Linked DNA regions of Elephas maximus indicus. The protein of the gene in region 1 purifies or fractionates together with the protein of each later gene. This does not show direct contact. Links are inferred from orthologs where the notes say so. Each region holds a gene or a part of one and is shown on either strand. Other genes may lie near its edges.

Evidence for each region. The genes of interacting proteins can lie anywhere in the genome.
Region 2: the proteins of DAXX (region 1) and ADNP purify together in Homo sapiens (affinity purification with mass spectrometry; 4 studies listed by BioGRID and IntAct, with this or other methods). This does not show direct contact. The link is inferred for Elephas maximus indicus from reciprocal best matches to the Homo sapiens genes DAXX and ADNP.

What each region holds. Positions count from the first base shown.
Region 1 is NC_064819.1:96,114,973-96,121,822, reverse strand, and holds the start of DAXX (death domain-associated protein 6), read left to right. Parts: upstream 1-3,841; 5' UTR 3,842-3,941; intron 3,942-4,837; 5' UTR 4,838-4,889; coding exon 4,890-5,096; intron 5,097-5,247; coding exon 5,248-6,079; intron 6,080-6,198; coding exon 6,199-6,410; intron 6,411-6,564; coding exon 6,565-6,793; intron 6,794-6,850. Other genes in the region: SMIM40 (small integral membrane protein 40), read left to right, coding at 1,527-1,766. UniProt on the Homo sapiens protein: Transcription corepressor known to repress transcriptional potential of several sumoylated transcription factors. Down-regulates basal and activated transcription.
Region 2 is NC_064843.1:18,763,686-18,771,511, reverse strand, and holds the start of ADNP (activity-dependent neuroprotector homeobox protein), read right to left. Parts: upstream 3,003-7,826; 5' UTR 2,898-3,002; intron 1-2,897. Other genes in the region: DPM1 (dolichol-phosphate mannosyltransferase subunit 1), read right to left, coding at 6,860-6,964.

The DNA.
Region 1 (6,850 bases):
TCGTAAACAACCACCAAATCTTTGACCTTGAAGAAAAAAAAGGTGACATACTAGTCTCTGTTAAACATGACATCACCTAATCCTTATTGTGCAAGGTCAAATTAAAAATTACATGTATACACTGGATCTCGGCTCATGCTCTGAGAGGCAGGCAGAGGCAAAGTATCTCTTTAGTCTCTGACTTTCTCCGAAGACTATGAGAGCTTGCAGGCTACCCACCGCTACAGACCTCGGACCCTAGCTATGCGGGAGCTCCACCAAGTTCCAGCCATGGTCAGTCTTCCTCCCGAGAACCTCTTGTAAAAGGTAAACGCTTTAAGTCTAAAGATTGGGACTCTAACTACTGAACTAACACTGTAATTGTAATTGTCAATTCTTATTCTTGGGTTCTAAAATGGAAGACTTCAGTGCGTGCCTTGCCATGACTACCTTGCAATAAACTAAAGGAATTTATGCATGGCAAACCCGAGCATTTCTTTATGTTTAAGACAAAATCCTACAAGAAAACGACATCTCTATCCCTCTCAAACCTCACATCTTATTTTTGCCCTGGAGTTCCTGGGTTGTGCAAACTTTAACATGCTTAGCCAGCAGAAAGGTTGGCGGTTTATGTCCACCGAGAGGCGCCTTGGAAGAGAGACGTGGTAATCTCTTTGAGAAATCAGCCACTGAAAACCTTATGGAGCAGTTACTCTGACACACGTGGCGTGGCCATGCTTTTTTTAGACTAAAAGGCAACTCCTTGGCTTGTATTTGCCCCAGTAGTTCGCAACTACCCCGCTTGGACCCACCGACCAATCAAAATCTTTCTCTTTTTATGACCACCCCTTGAGCTCACGATGTCCAATTATAATCCGCCTCTCCCAAAATTCCAAAAGGTCTAGGTTATAACGTCCAATCTCAGCCAAAGGCAGACGTGAGTGGGGGTGGGGTGGGGGTGGGGCGGGGCGGGGTGGGGGTGGGGCGGGAGAACTATGCCTGAGCTGACTGTAGACCCCGGGCACTCGGCTACTTGTCCCCAACCCCCTCAGGAGAGGCCCCCACCCAGCCAGCCACCCGCTGTCAAACCCAAAGGGACTTTAACGGCCAACTGAAAAATAAAAGGCCCAGCCCCCTCCTTGACGGACAGCAGCTCACAGTAGCACACAAGGTCCACTTGCTCACCCTTTCTCTATAGGGTCCCCAGACCTTGAGCCTTGACCTTAAAGACCCAGAATGTGGACAGTTGGGCTGCCTGCTTGTTCCAGTTTGTTTGTCTCTATGTTGGGCCTAATGATTCCAAATCACAGAATCATAAAGTGGTAAAACTGGACAGGATTTTAGGGATTGTTTAGTCCAGACCATTCGCTTTATACTGGGTAATTAAATGATTGCTCCAAAGGCTCTCTTATCTCTCTTGAGTGGGGGAATTAGGGTCAAGACAGGTGCAGGACTTGCAAGCACCACACCCCTTAATCCTGGCAGTGCTGAGCAAGGCTTCCATGCCAACCTCCCTGATCCAGCCAGCTGTCAGACTGGGGTTCAGGATGGCAGAGGAAGGCAATGTGGACGAGGACGATGTGTTCCTGGTGTTTGCCCATGGTCCCTCTCCTCCCAGGGGTCCCCTTCGTCAGACCTTGGACAAGGCCTTCTTTATCTTCCTGGTCCTCCTCCTGACACTGCTGATGCTGCAGGCTGCCTATAAGCTGCTGTGGCTGCTACCATGGGCAAAGTTTGGGGACTGGCTCCTGCAAACACCTCAGAAGGAGCAAGAGCTGGAATTGTGACCATCTTTCCTAGAAGCATTCTCTCTCCCTGCCACAGAGGTGAGAGGGGAGACAGGAGGGAAATGGGACTGTTGGGGGTTGTGGAGGGGACATTTATATAGCTTAGAGAAGCAATCTTAATTTCCTTGAAGTAATTTTGAGAATAAATAATTATGAAATAATTTTGAAAACGTATGTAATCTCTCATTTTTAAGTGGCATCTAAAATTTTTCATCATAAATTAAGGTTGCTTCAAGAATTGAAATCAATCTTGGCATATTAATAATGTTCACATTTTAAAATAAAATAGTTAAATCACCCTTTTGAATGTCAAATTGAATTGAGATATCATAGTGACTTGATGGAGCCCAGGTGAAATAGTGGTTAAGAGTTGGGGTGCTAGCCAAAAGGTGAGCAGTTTGAATCCACCAGCCACTCCTTGGAAACCCTATGGAGCAGTTCTGCTCCATTTCTAGAGGGTCGCTATGAGTCGGAATTGACTCAACCGCAAAGGGTTTGGTTTGGTTTTTTGGATGAAAGGAATAGGCTCTTTGTCTCTTTGAGACAAGGTAAGATTAACTAAAAAAAAAAAAGATTACCACAGAGATTTTATGGTTGAGAGCTATACTCTTCTTTTTTTAAGAGGGAGGAAGTCCATTGTAAAAGGGGAAGGGAAGAAAGAGAACCTGTACTGCCGGTGCTTACTCAGGAAAACAATTTTGGGAAAGGTGAGGATCTGGAAATTAGATCCAGTAAAACGCCCATGCTCAGGTACCCTTTGGAGTGTCTTCATGGTCTCAATTTGAAGACTTAGGCTTAGAGAACTGGAGAGAAGTGGTGTGGAATTCTTTAATGGGAGGGAAGGTTTGATGTTCTGGGATTCCAAAGATGTGGGGGATGTAAGGGTGGTACTAGAAAGTGGGAAGATGCTCGCTACTTATGGAATGCACAGGATGCAGGAGGTGAAAATCTCAGAGACTGGAGTCGTGTTAATCTTTTGGGTTTGCACATGAGCTCACCTCTGGACTTTGCCCCTGCCTTGACGAGTCCCTCTAGCCCCACTAAAGCTGGCCGAAGGGGTGCGGGTGAGACAGGCATCACAATCAGTTTCTTCCTCCTTCCTTCTTTCCACAGCAATCCCACAGGAAGAGGAGACGAGACCCCAGGTACTTCACGAGACTCATTTCTCATTTTGTCTCATACCCTTACAGTGGCAATTTGATCAGATTCTTAAAACCCTTGCCCCATCGCCGGTCCTTAGGCGCTGGACTCCTCTACGAAGCACAGCCTCCTGGTCAGCGCCTCCTGCGCGTCGGGGAACCCCTCTCGAGAAGAACAGAAAACAACCCAGGTCCCATCTGCTTGATTGATCGTTACGTGGTGATGGGTGAAAAGCAAATCAACAGTGGCAATAATAATAACGCATTTGTGTAGCGCGTTGTGCTTCTTCGTGTGCATGTGTTATGATTTCACGATGGGGAGATGGAGGCATCTAGATGTAGAGCTAGATGGAGGGTAGCAGCAAGGGGCGTGCAGCCGTCGGAAGAAAAGGGGCGGACGCAGTTGCTTAAGCTTTGCAAACCAACACCTGGGAGATAGGAAATCTGGGCCGGAAGGTTTGTCAATAGCCCAGCGGAAGGAAAGGATTTTTTTTCCTCTTAAGAGATTCTCACTCTTCTATGAAACCTTCCACAGCCTTGGGGAACCCAACTCCTTATCTGTCCTGTTCCGTTCCCCCCCCGCCCAATTGGAAAAGTGGCTCAATCCTCCCTGCACGCGATTCACCGGCGGTTGCGCTCAGTGCAAGAAGTTTCTGATTGGCGGAATCGCAGAAGCACCGGGTGAAAAGAGCCTCACTGGCTTCGCGCATAAGTCCGGACTGAGACAACGCCGTACGGCAAAATGGCGATCCCCGGGTGCTTCGCACTCCTTGAAGGGACAAACCACGCCCCCTACAGGTTAGGGGATAGGGCGCCGCAGACTACTGGAGATACTCGAGGGGCGGGACTACATCACTTCCGGCCACAGGACAACGTTCCGTATCATAAGATGGCTGCGCCTAGGTGCATGTAAGCGGAAACTCTGCGGCTTCCGGTCCTGAGTAGGGACTGCGGTGGGAGGGGGAAGGAAGGCGGAGAGAAGCATGCGAGGTTCTGAGATCAGCGGTGAGGGTCGCCTCGAGAGACCGTTTCTGAGGTGGGCGCTGGACGGTGCGGGCAGACAGGGTGGGGATATCGAGGGAGAGGTATTGTGGAGACCCGAGAGCTGAGCTCGAGAGCAAACTGTGGTACCTCCTATTCCTGAAGGGGAGAGAGCGGCCGGGGGCTGAACTGCGGGGGGAGGGGGGATTTGGCGGGAAGCTCACCTGGGGAAGGGGGCCGGACCCAGGATTGGGATTGAAGAGGAATCAAGAGAGCCCAGTCAGGGGCTCACGAGCGGTTACGGGTCAACGGAGAAAAAAGGGAAAATTAGGGTGGGGTGAGAGGGAGGGGATTCGAGGTAAAATATCTCCAACCTAATTTTTTTTTTTAAAGCCCCGGTTTGAAGGGACCTATTAGACGGTGGAATATGGGAATAATTCAAGGAGAAGAAAGGAGAATGGGCTGTTGGGAGAGAACCTGTTCCTCCACAGAGAGTGTAGGAGTTGGGGTGATCATTCAGGATGGGGTGGGGGGTGCAGGTTTGACGTGGTTGAGGGCGAAAGGGGGAAAACGTGGGGTGTGCCAACAGTGATGTAGCATCTGTGCAAGAGGGTGTCAAAGAAATAAGATGCAGTGTGGTAAACTGTCCTGGGAGGAAGGATCAACTTGCCAACTGTGAGAAACCTTGGATAAACGAAACAGAAAGACCGGAAATCGATCTGAGGGGTGGAGCTGGAGATAGGAACTTACTGTTTGTAGGTGGTTGGGGATCCCCCTCCCAGGTGCAGGGCCCGAAAAGTATATGTAACTAATGGTTGCTGATGATAGTCAGTGAAGACACTGTTGGGCAGAGCTGGGTATTACTGAAACCCAAGGAGATTGGAAAATGTGTGAGATGAAGGGATGGGGCTATGCTGGAGGGGCTCTTTCTGAGGCCCCATCCCCTTCCAGCAGGATTTCTGAAATCCCCACCACTTCCTCCCTCCGGGGGATTTGATCCCCCATGGCCACCGATAACAACATCATCGTGCTGGATGATGATGACGAAGATGAAGCAGCTGCTCAGCCAGGGCCCTCCCACCCACCCCCCAATCCGGCCTCGCCCAGGGCAGAAGCCCCTGGCCCCTCTGAGCCCTGTGTGTCCGAAGGAAGCAGTAGTTCGGGCAGCAAGAAATGCTACAAGTTGGAGAATGAGAAGCTGTTTGAAGAGGTGAGCTTTAAGGGAGGAGATTCTTGTACTCTAGGGAGGGGGAGGGCTGACTGGCTCTCCTGTCCTTTCTTCCCTGCTAACCCCACCTCACCTTCCTCTCAACCATCTCCCTTGTCTCTTTTCCTCTCCTTTCTTCCTCTGAACTGTCCAGTTCCTTAAACTGTGTAAGATGCAGACGGCAGAGCACCCTGAGGTGGTCCCATTCCTCTATAACCGCCAGCAGCGAGCCCATTCTCTGTTTTTGGCCTCGGCGGAGTTTTGCAACATCCTCTCTCGGGTCCTATCTCGGGCCCGGAGCCGGCCAGCTAAGCTCTATGTCTACATCAACGAGCTCTGCACTGTTCTCAAGGCCCACTCAGCCAAGAAGAAGCTGAACCTGTCACCTGCTGCCACCACCTCCAGTGAGCCCTCTGGAAATAACCCTCCCACAGACCCCCCCTTAGACTCCACAAATGCTGAGACCACTGCCTCTGAGGCCCCAAGGACCCGTGGTTCTCGGCGGCAGATCCAGCACTTGGAGCAGCTACTGGCCCTCTATGTGGCAGAGATACGGAGGCTGCAGGAGAAGGAGCTGGATCTCTCAGAACTGGATGACCCGGATTCCACATACCTACAGGAGGCACGGTTGAAGCGTAAGCTGATCCGCCTCTTTGGGCGCCTGTGTGAGCTGAAAGACTGCTCTTCACTGACCGGCCGTGTTATAGAGCAGCGCATCCCCTACCGTGGAACCCGCTACCCAGAGGTTAACAGGCGCATTGAGCGGCTTATCAACAAGCCAGGGCCTGATACCTTCCCTGACTATAGAGATGTGCTGCGGGCCGTAGAGAAGGCAGCTGCTCGACACAGCCTCGGCCTCCCTCGGCAGCAGCTCCAGCTCATGGCTCAGGATGCCTTCCGAGATGTGGGCATCAGGCTACAGGAACGACGCCACCTTGATCTCATCTACAACTTTGGCTGCCACCTCACAGATGACTATAGGCCAGGTAGGGAGTTTGCAGGATGCCCATCAGCAACCCATCAGGTGTGTGGCAGAGGGGCATCCCTTTAGTCTCTCCTTCTAGAGTTTGGGCTGAATGCTCTGACTTTATATCTTCCCACATAGGCATTGACCCTGCACTGTTGGATCCCATCCTGGCTCGGCGCCTTCGGGAAAACCGGAGCTTGGCCATGAGCCGGCTGGATGAGGTCATCACCAAATATGCAATGATGCAAGATCAGAGTGAGGAGGGTGAGAGACAGAAGAGAAGGGCTCGGCTCAAAGGCACCTCTGGCCACCCTGCAGAACCCCCCAGAGCCTCCTCAGATTCTGGTGAGGTATGAGAGGGATACCTCCTTCAGAGAGGCCATGTCCTTCCCCTGCACTGGCCTCCAGGGAGTCTGGGGTGACTGCTGGGGGAATGTGCAGAAAGAAAGCAAGGGCTGGACTCTGGAGCAAGGGATTTCTTAGAGAAACTCCTTTGTCCTCTAGGGCCCTAGTGGAATAGCATCCCAGGAGTGTCCTACCACCTCCAAGGCTGAGACAGATGAGGAAGAAGATGAGGAAAGTGATGAGGAGGAGGAAGAGGAAGAAGAAGAGGAGGAGGAAGAAGAAGAAGAGGAGGAAGAAGAGGAGGAGGTTACAGATTCTGAAGAGGAGGAGGATCTGGAACAGATGCAGGAAGGTCAGGGGAACAATGAAGAGGAGGAGGAGGAAGCAGGTATGTCAGGGAAGCATTCCCCCCATGTGTCAGTTCCCTCTACTTTGTTGAGCATAA
Region 2 (7,826 bases), on another chromosome or scaffold:
TCAGGTACATTGTCTTCAAATTACTCATTTTTAAAACTTGTGTAACTGTATTATCAGAGACCAAATCAGGTCAGAATCAAATCTTTTTTAAAAATACTAAGCAGTATTTTAAAAATTACAAATAATACCATGTGATTTTATGAAATACCCAAATCAGGCTACCTCTTTTTCACTCACTGTTACTTGGTAGCAAATGTCCTAAAAGAATTCTCTCTTAAGCACCAACCGGTTACCTATGTATCAAAGAGTAAATCCAATCCATTTTCCATAAATTTATTTCTGTGGATCTACGTTAGAGACATGTAACCAAGTCTTGAAAGTACTCCTTAGTATCAACAACCGTCAATCTTTGGTAGCCAAAACAAGTTCATGGAAAGGCCTGCTCTGGGCAGGGAAATCTTTGAAAGTTCTTTGAAGTCTACCAACGCTTGAGACTAGGCCATCAAATAACAGTGAGTACTTAACACACATATACACAAGAGTGCAGAATGTAATTAATTAAAATTGTCAACTTAAAATGTTTCTCTTAAAAAAGCCGTAAGTCATTTCTCTATTCTATAAGCCCACTACTGCAACCACCCCTAACCAGGTTCCTTGAGTAATGTGGCTAGGCTGAAATCGAGAAAGCACTGGCTTTGGTGGTGACCAAGAAGGGAGAAGTCTCTAGCTTCCCTGTTGCTGCAGTTCCTTCCCACCCTCCAAAATGAGTATACCCACCGGTGTGAACTGACAATGTGGTCCAAAGAGCAAAGCAGGCAATGGAGTCCAGATCCTTAAAATGGTAGTACAGGGCATAACCACTAGGCCACCTATCAGTTCACTACAACAAATACAACCCTGTGTGCATCATGGTACAAAAGCTGGGGCCTAGGTTTTGCACTGTTCATCTCACACCTATGGAAATAACAACAGAAGTAAAATCTACAGAAATCAACACACCCCAAGAAGGTGGGTGCTCACAGAGAAGACTGGTGTCAATTCTTTTCCAACGGTGGTTGGCTACGGAGATAATGATGACAAAGAGTTCAAAGTTGGAAAGAACCGAAATTTTACACTCAACTCTGTTGAGTTTGACAATGAAGACCTCAACATGGGCTTTATGCTAACCAACAAGGCTTTGCAGATCATGACACCCATCATGAAAATCACTGCTCCACTGAAGTCTAACATCCCTCAAGAATGATTTTAACTCTCAAAGAGTTGGAAAGATTTGGACTAAGAAGAAGCAGGATAATTCACAATGCCACAAACTCCTTACTCTCAGGTTTTAAACCTTCTCCTTTTCTACATGACCTTGGAAAAGAAATGGTGACACGTTCAAAGTTAAAGGTGGAAGAATTCCACAGAAGGTGAAATCTGTATACCAAGGATGTGCCAAGGCGACTTGTCAAGAACAAACATGGACTGTCTGAGGGTCAACAGTTTTGAACAAATAAAATGAGAAAACTTCTAAAATGCAGGGTGGATTCTTTAAAAGAAATAAAATCACTGCTCTTGACTCACTCCTTCGCCATGTTGCTGTCAGCTCACCAACTAAGAGTGTGTGTGTGTGTCTTGCTGGGCCCATTTTCCCATGGTCTGTAGAAGGCGCTGTGAAGCACATCCTGTTCTAACTGTGGGGCCCTTCCCCCCTCTGCAGCCTTACCCAGTGCAGAGAATGCGCCCCCTACTGACTCCAACACTCATCGCCTTTAGCCGACTTGGCTGCGGTGCATTTTGGGTGGGGGCTGGTATTTTCTTCATGGCCATAAACCAGAAGCAACAATGCAGATTTATAAAGAAACTGTATCAAGCTACCCAAGAGATTTTTTTTTCTTCTCATCTTGAAGGTTCAAGACACAGGCTCGAGAAGCATCACAGATGGGGACTGGGTGTGTGGGGATGGACAGCATTAAAATGGCAAACACAGGAAGCAGTTTGGTTCTTTTTTCCCTCCTAAGCCTTTGTCTGAGAAATGGGGTTATGGGAAGAACTATCCAGAGGAATTGGTGAACGCAAGAACATCAAGAAAACTTAGTGTGGGTAGGTGTGTGGCCAAAAGGGATCTAAGACCTTAGAGCTTGGTCTTGGGCAGAAGAGGAAGAGGAGCAATCGCGCCTTTTCCAGCAGACAGACATCCAGGTTGAGGGGGAGGGGAAGGGAGGCAGGCAGCCCAGAGGAGAGAAGAGGTGAAAAGAGTGCTCAAGCAACTACTCCCCATTCATTGCATTATAAACATCTTTTCGCTGCTTTAGGGCATTCTATTTTTCATTAACTTATTTAAAGTTGGGGCTTAGCATGCTTGTAAGAGATCGTGGTGACCAGGCATCTGGAACTGGAAAAAAGGGGTGCTGGTGCACTCTGGTTAGGATAGGACGGGAGCTGGAATGGTGGGGACAGAGAATTGCACAGGATAGGCAAAGACTTTTTTACTCCGTGCCATGCATGCTACCCGCCCCCAACCCAATGCCCCCTCCCCCAGCTCAGGGTGGGCAGACCTGGCAGAAGGTTCGTTCCGGGCACTGGGGGTGTGCGTGGGGGGCTCGGTTGGTGAGGGAGGAATTAGTTCCAGAGATGGGAGAAGATCGCTTCTTGCTGGGGGCGGGGTGGACGAACACAGGATTAGCTGCAAAAGCTCGGGGGACCAGGCCGGCTGCTGGCCTCGGCGGGCTCACGGGGCGGAGAAGGGGGTCGGGCTGCAGGAGGAGGCGCCTGGACCCCGGAGCAGCGCCCGGATAGCGGTCGGCGCGGGCCGGGCGGGCCATCAGTCGGGGAGTATGCAAAGGAGCCCGTGTGTGGTTGGAGGGCTGGGGATCCAAACAATACTGCGCCCCGCGCCGCAGGGCCGCGCTCGGCGGGGCGGCCCGAGGGGCGACGGGCCGGGCCGGGCCGGGCGCGCAGGGCCGCGCGGGGCTTACCTTGGCTCTGCCTCGAGGCGCGCGCGGGGCCGGCGTGCTCGGGGGCCGGGCGGCGGCGGCGGGCGGATGGCGGCGGCACGGCTGTGGCGGCGGCGAGGGCGCGCCCAGGGCCTCGCTGCGCTCCGGCTCGGCGGGCTCCGGCTCGCGCCGCGGCCGCGGCTGCTGCCGGGGGGCGCGGTGGGCGCAGCAGAGCGGCGGGCGGCGGCGGCGGCGGCGGCGCGAGCGGCTCCCTCCAGTCCCCGCGCGGGCGGCGGCGGCAGCGTCGTCGAGCGGTGCAGACAAAGGAGGGGCGGAGGGAGGAGACGGAGGGTGTGGGGAGAGGCGGCTTCACCGGCGCGGGCAGGCTGGCGGCGGCCGCGCTCCTCTCGCTCCTCAGCAGCGGGGACCGAGAGAGGGAGCTGTGCCTGAGGAGACGCCAAAATCCCCCTTAGCGCTGCCTGCGGGAGGGGGAGGGGCACAAGATGGCGGCGACCGGGGGGTGGGAGTTCAGCTCATGGATCCCGGCGGGCGGCGGAGGGGAGACCGGGCCGGTGGAGGCGGCGGCGGCAACGGGCGGGGGAGGGGGCTGATCCCGCGTCTCCCCTCAGCAGACAATACAAGCGCCTCGGAGCGAGTCCCCGAACCTGCCCTAGCCAAAATGGCGGCCGAGAAAGAGCGGAAGTGACGTAAGTGCCTCATTAGAATAAGAGGACTCATTGTCCAGCCAAGTGGGGGGGGGGCAGTGGGGAATAGTACCCTTTTACCCCGAAGCTCCGGGGATCGCTCCCTTACTCCCACCAATTCTTGCTCCTAACTTTTTCTGAGGGAGGGTGCCACTAGCACTCCCCGACCCTGCCTGAGGGGGATTATATAATCCCACTGAGAGGGAGCTATCGCGAGAACCAAGAGAATCTGCCATTGACCCACTAGGAGGCGCCGTGGATAATGGCCGCAGTGCGCTTCCAGGGCCCCTGTGCACGGCGGGCGCCTTCCTCTGGCCGCAGCGCCGGCGGCGGAGGCAGAAGCAGCGGGCCGCAGCACTCCCAGCACTCAGTCAGGTGGCCGTGTTGGGAATCCCTGCGCGGGCCCAGCAGAGCCTGGACTACATCTAGTGGGAGGGGGGTGTGCGGGGCAGCCCCGGGGCGGCTCCACGTGCTCGGAGGCCCCACGCCTACAGGACGGGCAGCGGCGGGAAGCAGCAGGGCACCTGGCTGGCGGTGCCTGACGCCTCCTGCCTTAAATGAGGTGTGAGGGCCTGTTGCACACGACTTGAGATGAACCACAACCCCATGGATGGCCCGACCCCTTCCTGCTGGGGTGGGGTTTTTCGTAGATGGGGGCTTATTTTTACAGAAGGTTGGCTGTTGTCCTGGGACTTGCCATTCTTTCCAAGTCACAGTGATGGTCTCTTTTTGGCCTGAAGAAAACAAATGGAATCTCCAGTGTCTGAGGCCGCTGGACTAGTGAAGCCGTTGGCATGGGCCTCCACAAGATCCTTGAAAACTACAGTTTGTGCTCCTGGGCACAATGACTTTGTGCTCTCCATCTGGATAGCATGATACCGCGCAGTTTTGCCTATGGAAATTTAGGCCAACCCCAACCAATACACTATCAACATTTTTGATGCCACCTTTTATAGTCGAGTACATCTGAGAGCGTATCTTTGGTTACGCATATTGAAAAGTAAATACCAACGGGGAAGGAATAACAGCTTCTTAGTATGTGCTGTTACACTTGTCTTGCTATTTCTCAAACCATACTTAACATCTCAAAAGAATCTGAATTGATAATATAAAACTGTAGTTAGACCTTTGTCTAAGACTATGGTTAGCTAGTTTAACGAAGTCTTTTATTTACTACAGTATTCCATTAATTTCTGAAATTTTGATAAAACCTATCTATGCAAACCAAGTAAGTACTTGAAAACAATGGCTGAAAAACATTAAGAAAAAGGGGGGGTGGTGGCAAAGCATTTCATTAAGAGGAACAAAGATGAAGAATGGATTACACATAGCAGAAGACAGGCAAAAGTTAATACAAATTTTATCTTTAGTTTTTCTTAGATATGCTTAGATTTCATACTGTGACCATACAAATAGAAAACATCAGGGTTTCATCCTTGACCTCATTTATAAAGCAAAAAGGGATGCTGGATTCAGATGTGTTTTAGACATTTTCCCAGTATGTAAGTCATCAGATTTACTACAAACTTGCATCTAAATAGTCCAGATTCTTTTCTAAATGACTGCTCAAAAACTTTCTTTACAATAAATCCCAATGGTGATGACACTGTAATAATTGTGGGAGTAAGAACTGAAAAGGTTAAAAAGACAAAAGTTACCTACTCTAGTGAGGTATGAAAGGCAATACTATACTGTGGGTTTTCTGAGGTAGTTAACTTAATCTCTTCCACACACTGGATACTGAAAACTTAACTTTGCATTTAGGTTAGAAAGAATAGATTTGGAACAGAGTAACACTGAAAATCATTGAGAATATTTACATTTCTATTGTTAGCTTAAGACTAAAGAGTTTACATCAAACACTGATGAATTTCCTAGTGGAGGGCACTGGGTTTTTGGTTTTTTAAGGAGATTCCCATGAGAGGAATCATTTCTGAAAGAAAGGTGGGTCCCCCGGTGGGTCAGCTGAATAGCTCTGGGCAAAAGGGAAATAGTGGCCCTTACTGGAATGTGTACTATGCAATCAACTATGGGGAGGGAGGGGATTTTAATGTTAAAAATGACACCAAAGAATTCATAGTCTGGCATTCATTTCTGGTAGGATCTGTTTTGAGAGAAATGCAAATGACAACTCAGACTTTTAAATTTCTTGGGCAGCCAAATTAAACCTGGAAAATGCAGTAATTAAGAATACTGTTCACTCGATAGGATTATTAGAAAACTTAGAGACATCTCTTCCTTTTACTTGCAAAGTTGAATCAACCTGATCTTAACCTTATTTGCTCAAGGTGTGTCTTATCCATCCAAACTTTAAAACCTACAGCAGGTTCCAAAATCTGTGGTACCATTAGAAACTGACCTTTTTTGAAATACCTACCTTTAGAGAAGGTAAGTGAAGAGAACATGTGCACTGGGCTTTATTAAACAACCTGTGTTTTAACTGGCAGAACAACCTTCTGAATGGAGAGAAGAGCTATAGGGAAGGGATTTTTTTTTTTGCATAGTAGAAAAGATAAGTGCTTTGGTGAGGGTCTTGAAATAATATAAAAACAAATATTTTGAGAGAAAAATCTTTATAAAAGTAATTCAGTAAGATATTTTGTGCCTCAGTGCTTTCAATATTTTTCCTTACTTATAGAGGTTATTGCTTAGAAGCGGGGGGGGGGGGGGGGGGGAACCCAGCCGTGCAATCAACTGCCACCATGCCGTTTCCAATTCACAATACATACTTAGACCTGCTTTAGTAGAAGAAATATTTCATCAGTTCAATAACTGCAAAGAACCAAAACCCTAAAATTTTATTCTAAATGTATTGTTTTAGCTGGTTTAAGAAATATGAGATACATTTTTGAGCAAAGGGCAAAAGTGTGTATTTTTTTTTTCCAGTTCATACAGAAACGGCCATTTACATTTCATGAATATAATTAACATTTCTCTTCTGATGTATGTTAGGTACAAAGAGCTATAATTCAGTTCTTATAAAGAATATTTTAAACTCTTCCCCATATAAGATATTCTGCGTTCACATACTCTAATGAAAGTAGCAATATTTTATGCAAAAGAAAACCATATACATCTATTTATAGGTCGTAACAGTAAAATGAAAATTGAGAAAACTGCTCATTTTGATAATTCAATTTGAAATATTAAGTGGTGGAATTTCTTCAGAAAAAAAGATTTACATGAAATTCACCTTACCTTAGGATTTACGCTCTAAGAGAGTACATTTTATAAAAATCATCAACCAGGCTTCTTTAATGCTTTAATTGAAATGAACATGATAAATATACATGAATTCTTTTATGTAGTAGCAAAGAGAGTCAATAATCCTTTCAAGAAAGAGAGTATTTCATTTCCTCCCAACTTGGATTCACCATAAACACGATCCACAAATGATATTGGAACCTGGTTAAAAAAATACATACATTAAAGTCAGTCTTGCTGCAATTCAAAGAAAAACTATACTCCACAAGTAAAATGGCCTTTCACTGAATTTTTTTAGTTATGTGTCAAATTTAACTATCACTATGTTTTAGCATTATGTGAAAGGCTTGTTAACTGCCACAAGACAAGTGGCATTTCAAGTTAGCCATTTTCTTCCTTTGATTAAGGGTAAAAAAACAAAACCAGTACCCAGTGCCCTCGAGTCGATTCCGACTCATAGCGACCCTATAGGACGGAGTAGAACTGCCCCATAGAGTTTCCAAACAGCGCCTGGCGGATTCGAACTGCCGACCCCTTCGTTAGCAGCCATAGCACTTAACCACTACGCCACCGTCACTATGAGTCGGAATTGACTGGACAGCAAGGAGTCTCTGATTAAGGGTATCAGTGTTAAAATGAGGGCCGTCTTCCCAAGGAGCTCACTGGCTCACCCTAAATATTAAGATATCTCTCTGCCTCGCTTGGTATTCCCTAGTAATTTTCATCTACTCATGGAAATTGGCACATAGGATTCACCACTCACTCTAAAGTAGGGTGGTTGCTAGCTATGGCAAGAGGAAATGCCATGAAGAGACTCATCCCTCCAGTGCTAATGGTCAAAAGAAAAGGCCGGGATGGACAAGGTACCAGCAACATTTAATTATTTATATGTGAGTGCTCCTTTCCATTAACGTGTTAAACCTTGGTCGGTCAAGCATATTTAAAAGGGATTTGAATTTTCATTTTTGAGTACATGGACAGTCTAAACAACGGGAAGTCTTCCATGTTAATTTGGTAGTATGAAGGTTAAAACAATTTAATATAAAAAGTCTAAAGCTCACTG